Linked DNA regions of Saccharomyces cerevisiae S288C. The protein of the gene in region 3 binds, or shares a complex with, the protein of the main gene of each other region. Each region holds a gene or a part of one and is shown on either strand. Other genes may lie near its edges.

Region 1 (3,451 bases), on a different chromosome or scaffold from region 3:
ATCCATCGATACTGTTAAGTTCCACGCTGATACTTGGACCCGTGGTAACGATGGTGGTGGTGGTACCTCTATGGTTATCCAAGACGGTACAACTTTCGAAAAAGGTGGTGTTAATGTCTCCGTTGTTTATGGTCAATTGAGCCCAGCGGCCGTTTCAGCCATGAAAGCTGATCATAAGAATCTGCGTCTACCAGAAGATCCAAAGACTGGTTTGCCAGTTACCGACGGTGTCAAGTTCTTCGCTTGTGGTTTAAGTATGGTCATTCATCCCGTTAACCCACACGCTCCAACCACGCACTTAAACTACCGTTACTTCGAAACTTGGAACCAAGATGGGACCCCACAAACTTGGTGGTTTGGTGGTGGTGCTGATTTGACACCTTCTTACTTATACGAAGAAGACGGTCAATTATTCCACCAACTGCACAAGGATGCCTTGGACAAGCACGACACTGCTTTGTACCCACGTTTCAAGAAATGGTGTGATGAGTACTTCTACATTACCCACCGTAAGGAAACACGTGGTATTGGTGGTATATTCTTTGACGATTATGATGAACGTGACCCACAAGAAATATTGAAGATGGTTGAAGACTGTTTCGATGCTTTCTTGCCATCCTACTTGACTATCGTCAAGAGAAGAAAAGATATGCCATATACAAAGGAAGAACAACAATGGCAGGCCATTAGACGTGGTAGATACGTTGAATTCAACTTAATCTACGATAGAGGTACCCAATTCGGTTTGAGAACCCCAGGCTCTAGAGTTGAGTCAATTTTGATGAGTTTGCCTGAACATGCTTCATGGTTATACAACCACCACCCTGCTCCTGGTTCCAGAGAAGCTAAATTACTAGAAGTTACCACCAAACCAAGAGAGTGGGTTAAATAATTCAAGGTTCTTTAGCAGACCGATTTTATGATCTCAATGACAATGATGATTTAATTATTTCGACCACTTATTTATACATTTTTTTATCTATTTATTATACCTCCTTTACATAATTCTTCAAATTCAATTGATACAGGATCTCTATTCTTAAAAATATTAATTATTGCGTCCTATTTATGATGCAAGTTCACAGTACGTGCAGGATCAAAAATTATATCAGTATCTATTGCTCTAAAAATATGGCAGCAGCCTTCATTCTCAATATGCGATCATGCCTTCTAATCAAATTTTAAGATGTTTTTATTACTCTTTTTATTCTTAGAAAATTCATCTTATATTCAAGGACTTCTTAATTTTCCTTCCATCTATGACCACAGTTTACACACTTATAAAAGGTAGTCATCGGCTCATCAGCTGACCTAATTTGTAGTTGGAAAAAGTAAGCACTCTCACCACCACAAGTATCATAATTGGGACATTGGGTTTTGGTTTGATCCACATTGTCCCAACCACCACCAAGAACATCATCAACTTCCTTTCTTGGAAGTTTCTTCCTATCATAGATTTCTATACCCTCTATAGGAAACTCATATGGACATGAACGGCATGCTAATGTATATACACCACTATCGCCACTCGTTATCAGTAGCATATTGTTACACGAAGGACAAAACGAAAGCATCCTAAATTATGTATTTTACGTTTTACCAATGAATGCGAACTCTTTTGCTTATATAGCCATATAACGTATGCGTTTTCCAGAAAGAAGATTCTCGGTTATGCTTTTGGATAAAACTTTTCCTACTGTTCTTTTGAACTGGATTTGAATTTTATATCGATCATCTTGCCATGTAATAATAGATGTCCAAAAATTTCATCTGCCATTTTTTTATTTTCCCGTTCGTTCACTTGCTCTAGTTTTTTTTTTTTTTTTTTTCAATACTCGGATTTGAAAATGTTAATGGGAGTGGCGCTAAAAACCTTCATCTGTAGTTGAATGCTATGACATGAGCAACACAAAATCATTTAGACAACGTTGAGTAAGGTGGTTCGGTCCGAACAACAGTTTCATGCTTGTGTTACTTCGTTTATGAATATAATATACAAATATTTAAAATGCTATTTATTATGCACTAACACCAAAATTTGTAGACTCTGACGAATATTGAAGAGTTCTTTAACCTTTCTTTATTTTCTTCGTCCTCCTGCCTCATTATTTCAGGGTCGTAAACTCTTCTATGAAAGTCCAAGTCGATCTTGTCCAGTGGGTTTAAAAAGGTAAAATCTCTTTTGTAAACCATGTATCCAACATACATGAATATCCATAGCGGGGCAGCCAGATAACTCTCGAAGAATGCCTGAGCATCACACTTTCCGCCATTTCCTATTGGAGACAGTGCGACCCAAAATTGGGCCATAAAGACAAGCATATTGAAAAAAACCCCATAGTATGAACCCCATATACCGGTATTGGCCTTATAGCCGACTTCATCAAGTGATCTTCCTTGGACTTTCATCGCTTTTCTGAATCGAATGTGTGAAAGCATAATGCCTGACCATGTGAAAAGTTCACTCAAACCTGCAATGGCTGCCAACCATGTAAATGCTTGCTCTTCCTGTGGAGAACAGGCGACGAAGCCAACGACACCAACAAGAGAGCACACTACCAAGGCCCTTAAAGGTCTTCCCTCCCTATCAATATAGTTCAAAAATTTTGGAGCATAGCCCTGTTGAGCCAAGGAACACATTAATCTCGGTGCGGCATAAAGGGCAGAGTTCGCAACAGAGATGACTGATATCAAAATAACAGCATTAATGATATGGGGGATGACCCTAACCTTGTGAATAGAGGCTGCCAAGACATATGGTGAAGCGTGCGTTGCGGAGCCACCGGAACCCATCAATTGATCGTTATTGTGAGGAACATTGAACCCAATTAGAATCATTGTCAGCAAATAAATGATCAAAATACGATATACACTTCTCTTCGCGGCTACAGGAGTGGATTTTCTAGGGTTAGACTGCTCATTGATGGAAAGAACAAATAATTCAATACCACCGAAGGAGAAATATGCAGATACTAGAATATAACATATCCCTTTGAAACGAGTGGCACCGCTGCCTTCTGCAAATGAACCAGGGTCGCGCCAATATTTGCCGCCAATATAGCCGTCCACACCGGCTCCCCCACAATTGATGACGACTGATAAAATAATGAATCCTGCAACCATCAATATCTTACAGGAATTGAAGATAAATTCCGTTTCACCGTATGCCTTAACACCAAAAAAGTGGATAAACAATAAAAACACATAGAAAATGACAATGAATACATCAGCATTAATTGTGTCATTCCAGTACTTGACGGTCATGGAAGAAGTAATCAATTCCAACGGTAGCACAGTTAACCACTGAATGCAAAATAACCAAGTGGTCGCGAACCCAAACGACTTTGAAATAAAGATTGAATTGTATGCATTGAAGTTACCTGGAAGCGTCGGATAAGTGACACCCATCTCACCAGCCGCTTGGACCATAAAATACGTGACGAAGGACACC
Region 2 (4,166 bases), on a different chromosome or scaffold from region 3:
TTGGAGCAAATCATACAAGCATCAGAATCAATCCAATCTGCGGGCGTCTTCGAGTCAAACATTGCAGTCGGAGAATTGGAAAGTGTTAGCTTTTCAGGGAATTTAATGCCACGAGAGATTAATTTATCATAAACTTTTGCCACATAGTTAAGTTGCGAATCATTTTTGAAGGCTACGTATAGTTCATATAATATGGTCTTTACCAGCTCAGAAAGTTCTTCGTTGCTATCTTCTCTTAAAATGACATGTTCCATGGTATCCATGAACTCTCTGGAACAAATTTCCTTAATAAAAGGCGTTCCACCATTTTTTACACATATATTGGTAAGCTTCCAGGAAGACAATTGGGTATTTGGATTATCGGCCGTATTGAGAATCCTTTTCTTTATACAACGCATAGAATCTTTGGGATTTACCCTTCTAGATCTTAACACATCTGAAATTTCCAACGCTATGGGGAGATCAAGGTCACCGTTGGGAATGCTCTCACTAGTGGCTTGTTCTATTAATGCGTCTAACTCACTTGGCGTGCTAACGGACATACTGTTCTTAGTTCTTTACTCACTACTCATTCACCTTAGCAAAAAAAAATCTTGATAATTTTACACCCTCTATTTTTAAATTCCCTCTGCTAATGATGATTATTTCAGGTATCATCGAAATTTTCAGAAAAGGAGGCCGAGCAAGATGATTCTGCTGCTCCGCAAGAAATAGCAGTAGCGTATGTATTACCAAAATCCAAAATCTTGTGAAGGTTACTTTATATAAGTGAGGCTCAAAGGACACCAGGCGTCTATAAATGTATACAAAGTAGCTGTTTTGACATATTACCAAAAAATCGGGAAAATACCTAGGTTGGTTAATGATGAACTCGAAAGAGCCTTAAGAAAAGTTGATTCAACAACATATGGTGTATGGTCGCTCCGAACAGTTTGCTTTTGTCTAGTACATAGTTACTGGTGAACTTTCCTGGATATGCGCGTGCTAACTAGAGCATTTTATGTTGATAATTAATTTAAATTGCATGATACAGATTACGAGACGAAAGATAGTCGATTATATATCTTTCAATCTTGGTTTAGTTTGGCAGCAAAAGCTAAAAGGTAGGCTCCGTGCATATTAGATGAGTGAACACACTTTAGGTTTATTCTTGTATGAAATCATTCACTTCGACCTCTTCCAAGATCAAATTCTCTAATGGATTACTTATGAGTTTACCAAATTCGTCAAATTCCAACCTGACTACATTCAAATTCTTAACATATGAGACATCAATCTCATCCTTAATGATATTATCAGCAGGCGGAGGATCCTTCAACTTTTTATATTCCTTGCCCTTCAAAACATACCACAGGTTAAGGCATCTTCTTATAATTTCCGGATTGACTGTCTTCGCACCTTCTTCGTTCCATTTATGGAAATTAGAACGACAAATTTTTAGAGCTCTAGACTTTAAATGTGCATTTCTTGCTATATTCTGAAAATATGGCTCCAATACTGCGGAGTATTCCTTCGGAATTCGATTCAAGTCCGTTAATCCGTCTAGTAAACCTTCTAAGTTAGAGTAATTGTATAAATCTATCATCCGAGGAGATCCTCTTCTCTTTGCTTATGCATTTAGTCTCCTTTGATTTCTCAAGTTTATAATTTTTTTCTTTTTTTCTCACTTTTTAATACCTTTTAATAGCCGCTATTTTTTTAATTTTAGTTAAGTTTTCTTCTAATTTTGAATATAAAAAGTCATCTTATAACTAGTACATTTTATATGAAGGAGTTTCTATAGGTTTTAAAGGTGTGCAAAAAAAAAAAACAGCGTTAAAAGGCTACGAGTAAAACCAGATTCTTGGAAGACTTTGCTTACATGTGAGCAATTGAGAAGAAAAGGCAGGGGGCATTAAACGTTACGGCTACGGTTCGTCCGCACTACTCACTACATCGCCTACCGTAGCATACCTACGCTCACCCATTGCCATACCCACAGTAAATATGTAAATCGTTTATTAAAATGTTTAAGCCCTTGTTTGGTAGTATATTTAGAATCCAACTAGATGATATTGCAATTATTTAATCTTTTTGTTTTTAAGTAACATCGCGCACAGGCACTTTTTTTTTCCTTCAAATCTTTTATTGTATTAAAAATTTTCAAGTTGATTTGCGATGTATTTGTGAGATGAGATCATTACAGAAAATCTTAATCAAGTGAAGAATTTACAGCGCCAATATCCTGAATATGAGTGGAATGATAGAAAATGGGTTACAGCTATCGGACAATGCTAAAACCTTACATAGCCAGATGATGTCGAAAGGAATAGGCGCATTATTTACACAGCAAGAACTCCAAAAACAAATGGGAATCGGGTCGTTAACAGACTTGATGTCCATTGTACAGGAATTGCTAGACAAGAACTTGATCAAATTAGTAAAACAAAACGACGAATTAAAATTTCAAGGTGTCTTAGAATCTGAGGCGCAAAAGAAAGCCACCATGTCGGCTGAAGAGGCACTGGTATATTCTTATATCGAGGCTAGCGGTAGAGAAGGGATATGGTCCAAGACTATCAAGGCAAGAACCAATCTCCATCAGCATGTAGTTCTTAAATGCTTGAAGAGTTTAGAATCCCAAAGATACGTGAAGAGTGTTAAGAGTGTAAAGTTTCCCACAAGGAAAATCTACATGTTGTACAGCTTACAACCCTCTGTGGACATCACAGGAGGTCCATGGTTCACAGATGGAGAGCTGGATATAGAATTTATCAATAGTTTATTGACTATTGTTTGGAGGTTCATATCAGAGAACACCTTCCCTAATGGCTTCAAGAATTTCGAAAATGGACCCAAAAAAAACGTCTTTTATGCTCCAAACGTAAAAAATTACTCTACCACACAAGAAATTTTGGAATTTATTACAGCGGCACAAGTGGCCAATGTCGAGTTAACCCCTTCAAATATCAGATCTTTGTGTGAAGTCTTAGTGTACGACGACAAGCTGGAAAAAGTCACGCATGACTGCTATAGAGTGACCTTAGAGAGCATTCTACAAATGAACCAAGGTGAGGGCGAGCCGGAGGCAGGTAATAAGGCTTTGGAGGATGAAGAAGAATTTTCCATCTTTAACTACTTCAAGATGTTTCCGGCTTCAAAACACGACAAGGAAGTGGTCTATTTCGATGAATGGACAATTTGAAGTTCTTGACTACCCCTATCTCACACTAGTACGTAATTCAATGTATCATTCGTATTGTAAGTAGATAGAGACGCAATACAGGAAAGCTGACCTTCCTTCCAATCACCACGGCTGAAATGCTTTGTTGACCAATTACGGACGCTTAAGAGCGGACGCGGCTGGAACGGCTCCATCCTAAATCGGCGGAGGGAGAACTCCGATACCAGCCGACATGGCAATAATAGTGACAGTAGATGCTACCAGCCCCGCAATAATTTCACAGTAGATCATCAACAGTCTCCTCATTTCTGGAAATGATCAGCAACTTCGACGGATTTAACTCTCAAGCAGTTACGCACTCCGAGAACAGCCGTGATCATCTTTGAACAAGCAAAATATATAAAGCAGGAGAACTGTCCTACCTAGAGCTAGAATAGCCATAACTAACTATGTAACATTCTACAGATCAATCAAAAACAATCTTCAATCACAGAAAAAAATAAAAGGCATGTCTGACAGAGAACAAAGCAGCGGCAACACCGCTTTTGAGAACCCTAAGGCACTCGATTCTTCCGAGGGTGAGTTCATCTCTGAAAACAACGATCAGAGCCGCCACTCGCAAGAGTCCATATGCAAAATATATACTGCGGGCAAAAACAACGAGTATATTTACATCGGCCGTCAAAAATTTTTAAGGGATGATTTGTTCGAGGCATTCGGTGGTACTCTGAATCCCGGTTTAGCCCCCGCGCCAGTCCATAAATTCGCAAATCCTGCTCCACTAGGACTTTCCGGTTTTGCCCTCACTACGTTTGTCCTATCCATGTTCAATGCAAGAGCCCAAGGCATCACTATCCCTAATGTTGTTGTTGGGTGTGCCATGTTTTACGGTGGCCTCGTTCAACTCATTGCTGGTATTTGGGAAATCGCTTTAGAGAACACTTTCGGTGGTACAGCCCTGTGTTCCTTCGGCGGTTTTTGGTTAAGCTTCGGTGCTATATAC
Region 3 (3,724 bases):
TTGATGATGGTGCTGGTGGTGATAATGAAGTTCAAAGAACTATGTTAGAACTGATTACACAGTTAGACGGGTTTGACCCTCGTGGTAACATTAAAGTGATGTTTGCCACCAATAGGCCCAACACTTTAGATCCAGCTTTATTGAGACCCGGTAGAATTGATCGTAAGGTAGAGTTTTCATTACCTGACTTGGAAGGTCGTGCAAATATCTTCCGTATTCACTCTAAATCAATGAGTGTGGAACGTGGCATCAGATGGGAACTTATCTCCAGACTGTGTCCAAACTCTACCGGTGCAGAATTAAGATCTGTTTGCACAGAAGCCGGTATGTTTGCCATTAGAGCAAGAAGAAAGGTGGCTACTGAAAAGGATTTCCTGAAGGCTGTTGATAAAGTTATTAGCGGATACAAGAAGTTTAGTTCCACATCGCGTTATATGCAATATAATTGACGTCAATGTACTTTTTTATTATATATTATGAGAAGGGTTAATAAAAACAACAAGTACAACTACAACTATCGAGATAAAAAGGATACGAGAGTATCCCCTCAAATAGAGAAAGAATTAGCGTATATAATGCTAAAGAAAATTCACGTTTATTATATATTATTATCCTCATTATTACTGTTACTATTATTATTAAATGTTTTATTGAAGTCAGTGGCGTCCTTATCTATCATTCCCACCAACTAACGAGTCCCATGCCATCAGTTTGACAACTACCTAATAGGGCATATGCTGGAGGTTTTTCGTTTTGAGGAGTTTCTTCATTCTTACCCTCAATCTCATTCTCTAATTGAGCTCTTTCCTCCAATTCTCGTTCTTTGGGTGATTTTGGCTTCACATCAACAAAAACTTCTCTTTCGATTCTGAATCTAATTTTTTCATTTACATCGAAATATAGTTTCGTCTCTTCATCCATGGGCCAAATCCATGCACTTTCTTCAGGGGTATAATAGCACCCTTCGAATAACATATTTTGTGGGATAAAAATGTCATCAAATATACCTAACAGTGAAACTTTTATGCCTTCTGCTGTACATTTAGAAATCCATCCAGTTACTATCTCACCTAGAAACGGTTTGAAAACAACGGCTCGAAATGTAACGTTAATATAGGATGATCCATCGCCTGGCTTCAATTGGCCTTCCTCGACGGTTAATAAGTCGTAAATCGTAATACATAGACCGACATTGGGAATAATCTTGTTGGCGAACTTATTATTTAACTGATGTGTGATTGCCGATATTGTATCGCGATGGAATTGATCGGGCGGGATTCGTACCAAGTCAGCGATTTTTGAAAGGATAAACATATTACCTTGTTCAATGAATTTTCTAATTTAAATAGTACTACAGAATGTCTTTATACTACCCGATAGTTTCTTCCGAATAACGCTTCTTGCGTCTATTTCTGCACATGGCTTGAATATTCGTTATTATGATACGAAATTAACTAATCCGTATAACGCGACTGAAAATTTGTCAAATAAAAATTTTAAGCGATGAGCATCGCCTGAATATTATGAGCATCTAAATCAGGGTTCTTACCGAATCCTACGAGCAACCAGTATAGTATTTCAAAGACTTTAAGGGGAATATAAAAAGCACGAAGATGTCGAAGAAATTTAGCTCTAAAAACTCCCAAAGGTACGTGGTGGTACACAGACCCCATGATGATCCTTCATTTTATGATACAGATGCCTCTGCGCACGTTTTGGTTCCTGTCTCCAATCCAAATAAAACTTCTCCAGAAGCAGATCTTCGAAAAAAAGACGTGAGTTCAACAAAACCAAAGGGTAGGAGGGCTCATGTGGGAGAAGCAGCTTTATATGGTATTAATTTTGATGATTCTGAATACGATTATACTCAACATTTGAAGCCAATAGGTCTCGACCCTGAAAACTCCATCTTTATAGCATCCAAAGGCAATGAACAGAAGGTCGAAAAAAAAAACATTGAAGATTTATTCATCGAACCTAAGTATAGACGTGATGAAATTGAGAAGGATGACGCGCTACCTGTGTTTCAAAGAGGGATGGCAAAGCCAGAATATTTACTACACCAACAAGATACCACCGATGAAATTAGAGGTTTCAAACCTGATATGAATCCTGCATTAAGAGAGGTGCTTGAAGCTTTAGAAGATGAAGCATATGTTGTTAATGATGATGTTGTGGTTGAAGACATCAGCAAAAAGACACAACTTCAAGGCGATAACTATGGAGAAGAAGAAAAGGAAGATGACATTTTCGCACAATTACTAGGGAGCGGTGAAGCAAAAGATGAAGACGAATTCGAGGATGAGTTTGATGAGTGGGATATTGATAATGTAGAAAATTTTGAAGATGAAAACTACGTTAAGGAAATGGCGCAATTTGATAACATCGAAAACCTGGAGGACTTGGAAAATATCGATTATCAAGCTGATGTTCGAAGATTTCAAAAAGATAACTCTATACTAGAAAAGCATAACTCGGATGATGAATTTTCTAATGCAGGTTTAGACAGTGTAAATCCCTCTGAAGAGGAAGATGTGCTGGGCGAATTGCCCTCTATCCAAGACAAAAGCAAGACGGGGAAGAAGAAAAGAAAGAGCCGTCAAAAAAAGGGTGCCATGTCAGATGTATCTGGATTTTCCATGAGTTCAAGTGCCATTGCGCGTACAGAGACGATGACAGTACTGGATGATCAGTACGATCAAATCATCAATGGTTACGAAAATTATGAGGAAGAACTAGAAGAGGACGAAGAACAAAATTACCAACCATTTGACATGTCAGCAGAAAGATCTGATTTTGAGTCAATGCTTGATGACTTTTTGGACAATTACGAACTGGAGAGTGGTGGCCGTAAACTGGCTAAGAAAGATAAAGAAATTGAAAGGCTGAAGGAAGCTGCTGATGAAGTAAGCAAAGGTAAACTGTCTCAGAGAAGAAATCGTGAAAGGCAAGAGAAAAAGAAACTTGAGAAGGTCACCAATACACTAAGCAGCTTAAAATTTTAGAGGAGTAGAATGAGATGAGAAAGCACCTACATTACAAGTACTGTGTAGACATGTATACTTAGCCTAGAATGCATTGATGCTAAAATACATCCTGCCCACCGGGTAATAATTATGAAACGCGGCGGTGCTCTTTGTGGATTTCGGAGAAAGGGGGTGGAGGAAGGAGGTCGATTTTCATTATTCAAATATTGTTTTAGTATAAAGAAAACCGGCGTGCATTGCTTCAAAGAGCCGTTCAAATTAGTAACCGTTTGAGATATCTTGTCTTACTACTCGTATTCCGCAGATAAAGTACATTTTAAGAAAGGAAGTAAATACACATAAATAAATAGCAGGAAGAAAATGTCTAACGAAATTGAATTACTGCAGAAGCAAGTCTCTGAATTACAAGACTTAGTGAAGAAGCAAAGTCTGATTATCTCTAAGACAGGAGAGCGTGTGCTGGAATTGCAGTTAGATAAACAAAAGCACGACGTAACTGATTTTGATTCGAAATTCTCTAAATCTATCTCGAAGAAATCAGGATCCGCTACTCAATTCGATGCCACTGATTTTGCCACAAATGAAGATCTAGTGGAATTAGTCAAAGAACTACAGGGTGAGCTAAATTTCATCGAGGAAAGGTCTATCAGAAGACTTGTTAACTCTTTGAAAAAAGATGATGATGACGTTATAGCGCCACTGCCTAATGCAGATGGTGATATTCCTGCTATTTCAGA
Region 4 (4,141 bases), on a different chromosome or scaffold from region 3:
CCTTTGAATCTATCCGTCTTTTTATTTTCTTGTTGATCAATTTTCGAAGTATAGAAACGCAAAGTTCTTCTACGAGCTTTTTTGTCTTGTGCGTCCACATCAGCAATCTCAGATTCAATGAAATCATCAGCTTCAGGCATTGATGATGTTTTCGGTTTAGAATGCAGACGTGATTGTGCTACGTACTCTTCAAAATCGTCAATATCAACATCTTCTTCTTCTTCTTCTTCATCGCTTTCTCTTTCTTCTTCATCAATTTCTTGCTTTTGTTTTCCTCCATCCTCTGCATCAGAATCTTCACTGTTTTGCAACTCATTCAGCTTCTTTTCGTTAAAGGCCTCAATGTTTGCGGTTTCTTCACTTTCAGAACCATCTCCTTCATTCACATCAAAACTAGATGGCAATTCGCTGGCTTGCCTCCAAATCTCTTTTGTCGTTAAAATCTTTTCCATGACCGGATGTCCCTTCATAGATGTGAAATCTTCATTATTATGGAGTTCGTGCAACAAGATACTATAGTAACATGATATTGTGCCTAGGTAACTTCCAAGTGCAATTAGCTTTAATTTATTGAACTCATTTTCCTCAGATTTCTTTAATTCGTCAAACTTTGGAGCTAATTCTGTGAATTCTTTTGAAAGTGGAGCAAATTCAGGAAACATTGTCCTTAAATAGTTATCCCTTGCTTCGTCATCCATATTTAGAATATCCGTTATGGAAGTTTTAGTATCAGCCTGCTTGGTCGAGTTCTTAAATTCACCCATGTCAAATTCTTTGGCACTTTTGACCCACTCTTCTTCTTCTTCTTCATCTAAGTAATCGTTCATATTAAGTTCTTCCAGATGCTTCTTTTGTTGTCGTAAAGCTTCCTTTTCTATTTCCTTAGCAGCTTCGTCATCATCTAAATCATCAGCCCCATAATATTCTCCTTTTGTGGACCCCCAGGCATTCTCGTTGTCTAACATACCATTCTCTTCATCTTCCTCAGGAAGCTGGTCAGTTTCTAAGTTTCTACCAAATATTTTCTTATAGGCTGCAGCACCATCTAGTTCCTCTTCCTCTTCTTCTTCCTCATCTTCTCTTTCATCTATTGACTCATCATCTTCATCCATGGCTAAGACTTCTTCCTCATCTTCGTCTTCTAACAGAGAATGGTCATCATCTTTATTACTGTCGCCAAAGGTGGATTGTCCAAGTAAAACCTTTTCCCTTTTAGAAGCAAAATCATCAACTTCGTTTAAACCATACGGATTAATCTCATCCCCAACTTCAGAGGTCTTAGTTCTGTTTGAGCCTTTGCGTACCATATTATTCTATACACCCACTCTAATATGTTTTCTCTTCCTCCAAAACTTTTTGTATAAAAGCATCAGTGAGATGAGCTATGATGAGATGAGCTTCATTATTGAATTTTTTTTCATTGCAGAAGCGCAGTTTGAAAATTTTTCATCCGCCCTGCAAAGTCCAATTTTTTGATCAGCAGAAGATAATGACCAGAGAATTATGGTATTCAAGAGAACAATTCAAAAGAGGACAGCTAGAAAGATATTGAGGTATTTATAATTTGCTAGACTAACCGAAAGTCGAAGCGTAATCTTGTTTTTTATTAAGCGGGATAGCATTCATTAAGTATGAGCAGTAATAAAGGAAATGGGCGCTTGCCATCATTAAAAGATTCCTCCTCCAATGGAGGAGGATCTGCCAAGCCCTCATTAAAGTTTAAACCAAAAGCAGTTGCAAGAAAGTCCAAGGAAGAAAGAGAAGCAGCTGCGTCCAAAGTAAAGCTAGAGGAGGAATCTAAGAGAGGTAATGACAAGAAACATTTCAATAACAAGAATAAAAGAGTAACCGGCGCTGGCGGCCAGCAAAGGCGAATGGCCAAATACTTAAATAACACACACGTTATCTCTAGCGGTCCATTGGCGGCTGGGAACTTTGTAAGTGAGAAGGGTGATTTGAGAAGAGGATTCATCAAATCAGAAGGAAGCGGGTCATCTCTTGTGCAAAAGGGCCTGGAAACTATTGACAATGGTGCTGAGAGCTCTGAGAATGAGGCAGAAGACGATGATAATGAAGGTGTAGCGTCCAAATCTAAGAAGAAGTTCAATATGGGAAAAGAATTCGAGGCACGCAATCTCATAGAGGACGAAGATGACGGCGAAAGTGAAAAGAGCAGTGACGTCGACATGGATGACGAAGAATGGAGATCTAAACGGATTGAACAGTTATTCCCTGTGAGACCTGTCCGCGTAAGACACGAAGACGTTGAAACTGTCAAAAGAGAAATACAAGAAGCTCTTTCAGAAAAGCCAACTCGTGAACCAACCCCCAGTGTGAAGACAGAGCCTGTCGGAACCGGATTACAATCTTATTTGGAAGAAAGAGAAAGGCAAGTCAATGAGAAACTGGCAGATCTTGGACTTGAAAAGGAGTTTCAATCGGTTGATGGGAAAGAAGCGGCCGCTGAGTTGGAATTATTAAATGCAGATCATCAGCATATATTACGAAAACTAAAGAAAATGAATAATAAACCAGAAAGATTCATGGTATTCCAGTTACCTACTAGGTTACCAGCTTTTGAAAGACCCGCTGTGAAAGAAGAAAAAGAAGACATGGAAACCCAGGCTAGCGACCCTTCAAAGAAGAAGAAGAATATTAAAAAGAAGGACACGAAGGATGCTTTGTCTACTAGAGAACTTGCCGGCAAGGTTGGGTCTATACGGGTTCACAAATCTGGAAAACTTTCCGTGAAAATTGGAAATGTGGTGATGGATATTGGCAAAGGTGCCGAAACCACATTTTTACAAGATGTTATAGCATTAAGTATCGCTGATGATGCATCCTCAGCGGAACTTCTAGGCCGTGTGGACGGTAAAATAGTAGTCACACCTCAAATCTAATCGCACTCGCATCTGTCGAGTATATAAATGAATATACACAGTCATAAATACTTCTAGAACAAATTACACTAATTAAGATGCTTAGATTCCCATTCAAAAGGTACTATTGACGTCTTGTCTTCTACAATTTCTCATCCTCTTTGAACATTGGTAATGTTATTCTAGTTATTGTTACCCAGTTTCGGAACTTTAGGGGAGCCACACTTTAAACAAAAAGAAGCGCCATAACCACCGTGAAGTAATGAGTATCTCACTTTGATAAGAAGACATTTAAGAACAGCCTGAAATATCAAAATCACGGAATTATTAGGTTATGGAGAGAGATGAATACCAGTTACCCAACTCTCATGGGAAGAATACTTTCTTATCGCGAATATTTGGTTTACAATCGGATGAAGTTAATCCTTCTCTTAATAGCCAGGAGATGAGCAACTTCCCTTTACCAGACATAGAGAGAGGCTCATCTTTATTGCATTCTACTAACGACAGCCGCGAAGATGTAGATGAGAATGACTTACGTGTTCCTGAGTCTGACCAAGGCACTAGTACAGAAGAAGAGGATGAAGTAGATGAAGAGCAAGTCCAGGCGTATGCTCCACAGATTAGTGATGGATTGGATGGAGACCACCAGCTAAATTCTGTAACGAGCAAAGAAAATGTACTTGAAACGGAAAAAAGCAATTTAGAAAGACTGGTTGAAGGCTCTACCGATGATTCTGTGCCCAAAGTCGGACAGCTTTCGTCAGAAGAAGAAGAGGATAATGAGTTCATAAATAATGATGGATTTGATGACGATACGCCCCTTTTTCAAAAAAGCAAGATTCATGAATTTAGCTCTAAGAAAAGCAATACTATAGAGGACGGTAAACGACCTTTGTTTTTCAGGCATATCTTACAGAATAACCGCCCTCAACGTGATACCCAAAAGCTATTTACTTCGTCGAACGCCATTCACCATGATAAGGACAAGAGTGCAAATAATGGTCCCCGTAACATTAATGGTAATCAAAAGCATGGCACTAAATACTTTGGTAGTGCTACACAACCTCGGTTTACCGGTTCGCCCTTAAATAATACAAACAGGTTCACTAAATTGTTTCCATTAAGAAAGCCAAATTTACTGAGCAATATATCCGTTTTAAACAATACCCCGGAAGATAGAATCAATACGTTGAGCGTGAAAGAGCGGGCTCTGTGGAAATGGGCAAACGTAGAAAACCTCGATATATTTCTTCAAGATG

What was found.
Region 1: RPC25 (region 3) and RPC11 share a complex: the UniProt entries of both Saccharomyces cerevisiae proteins name them as parts of the RNA polymerase III (Pol III) complex.
Region 2: RPC25 (region 3) and RPC34 share a complex: the UniProt entries of both Saccharomyces cerevisiae proteins name them as parts of the RNA polymerase III (Pol III) complex.
Region 4: RPC25 (region 3) and RPC53 share a complex: the UniProt entries of both Saccharomyces cerevisiae proteins name them as parts of the RNA polymerase III (Pol III) complex.

Annotation. Positions count from the first base shown.
Region 1 is NC_001136.10:546,737-550,187, forward strand, and holds RPC11 (DNA-directed RNA polymerase III core subunit RPC11), read right to left. Parts: upstream 1,575-3,451; coding exon 1,242-1,574; downstream 1-1,241. Other genes in the region: HEM13 (coproporphyrinogen oxidase), read left to right, coding at 1-892; amino acid transporter BAP3, read right to left, coding at 2,026-3,451. UniProt on the Saccharomyces cerevisiae protein: DNA-dependent RNA polymerase catalyzes the transcription of DNA into RNA using the four ribonucleoside triphosphates as substrates. Component of RNA polymerase III which synthesizes small RNAs, such as 5S rRNA and tRNAs.
Region 2 is NC_001146.8:633,362-637,527, reverse strand, and holds RPC34 (DNA-directed RNA polymerase III subunit C34), read left to right. Parts: upstream 1-2,230; coding exon 2,231-3,184; downstream 3,185-4,166. Other genes in the region: ESCRT-0 subunit protein VPS27, read right to left, coding at 1-542; SWM2 (Swm2p), read right to left, coding at 1,145-1,585; putative ammonium permease ATO2, read left to right, coding at 3,672-4,166. UniProt on the Saccharomyces cerevisiae protein: DNA-dependent RNA polymerase catalyzes the transcription of DNA into RNA using the four ribonucleoside triphosphates as substrates. Specific peripheric component of RNA polymerase III which synthesizes small RNAs, such as 5S rRNA and tRNAs.
Region 3 is NC_001143.9:175,168-178,891, forward strand, and holds RPC25 (DNA-directed RNA polymerase III subunit RPC25), read right to left. Parts: upstream 1,315-3,724; coding exon 676-1,314; downstream 1-675. Other genes in the region: proteasome regulatory particle base subunit RPT1, read left to right, coding at 1-449; ribosome biogenesis protein LTV1, read left to right, coding at 1,614-3,005; MRP8 (Mrp8p), read left to right, coding at 3,348-3,724. UniProt on the Saccharomyces cerevisiae protein: DNA-dependent RNA polymerase catalyzes the transcription of DNA into RNA using the four ribonucleoside triphosphates as substrates. Specific peripheric component of RNA polymerase III which synthesizes small RNAs, such as 5S rRNA and tRNA.
Region 4 is NC_001136.10:181,712-185,852, forward strand, and holds RPC53 (DNA-directed RNA polymerase III subunit C53), read left to right. Parts: upstream 1-1,631; coding exon 1,632-2,900; downstream 2,901-4,141. Other genes in the region: rRNA-processing protein SAS10, read right to left, coding at 1-1,307; autophagy protein ATG9, read left to right, coding at 3,214-4,141. UniProt on the Saccharomyces cerevisiae protein: DNA-dependent RNA polymerase catalyzes the transcription of DNA into RNA using the four ribonucleoside triphosphates as substrates. Specific peripheric component of RNA polymerase III which synthesizes small RNAs, such as 5S rRNA and tRNAs.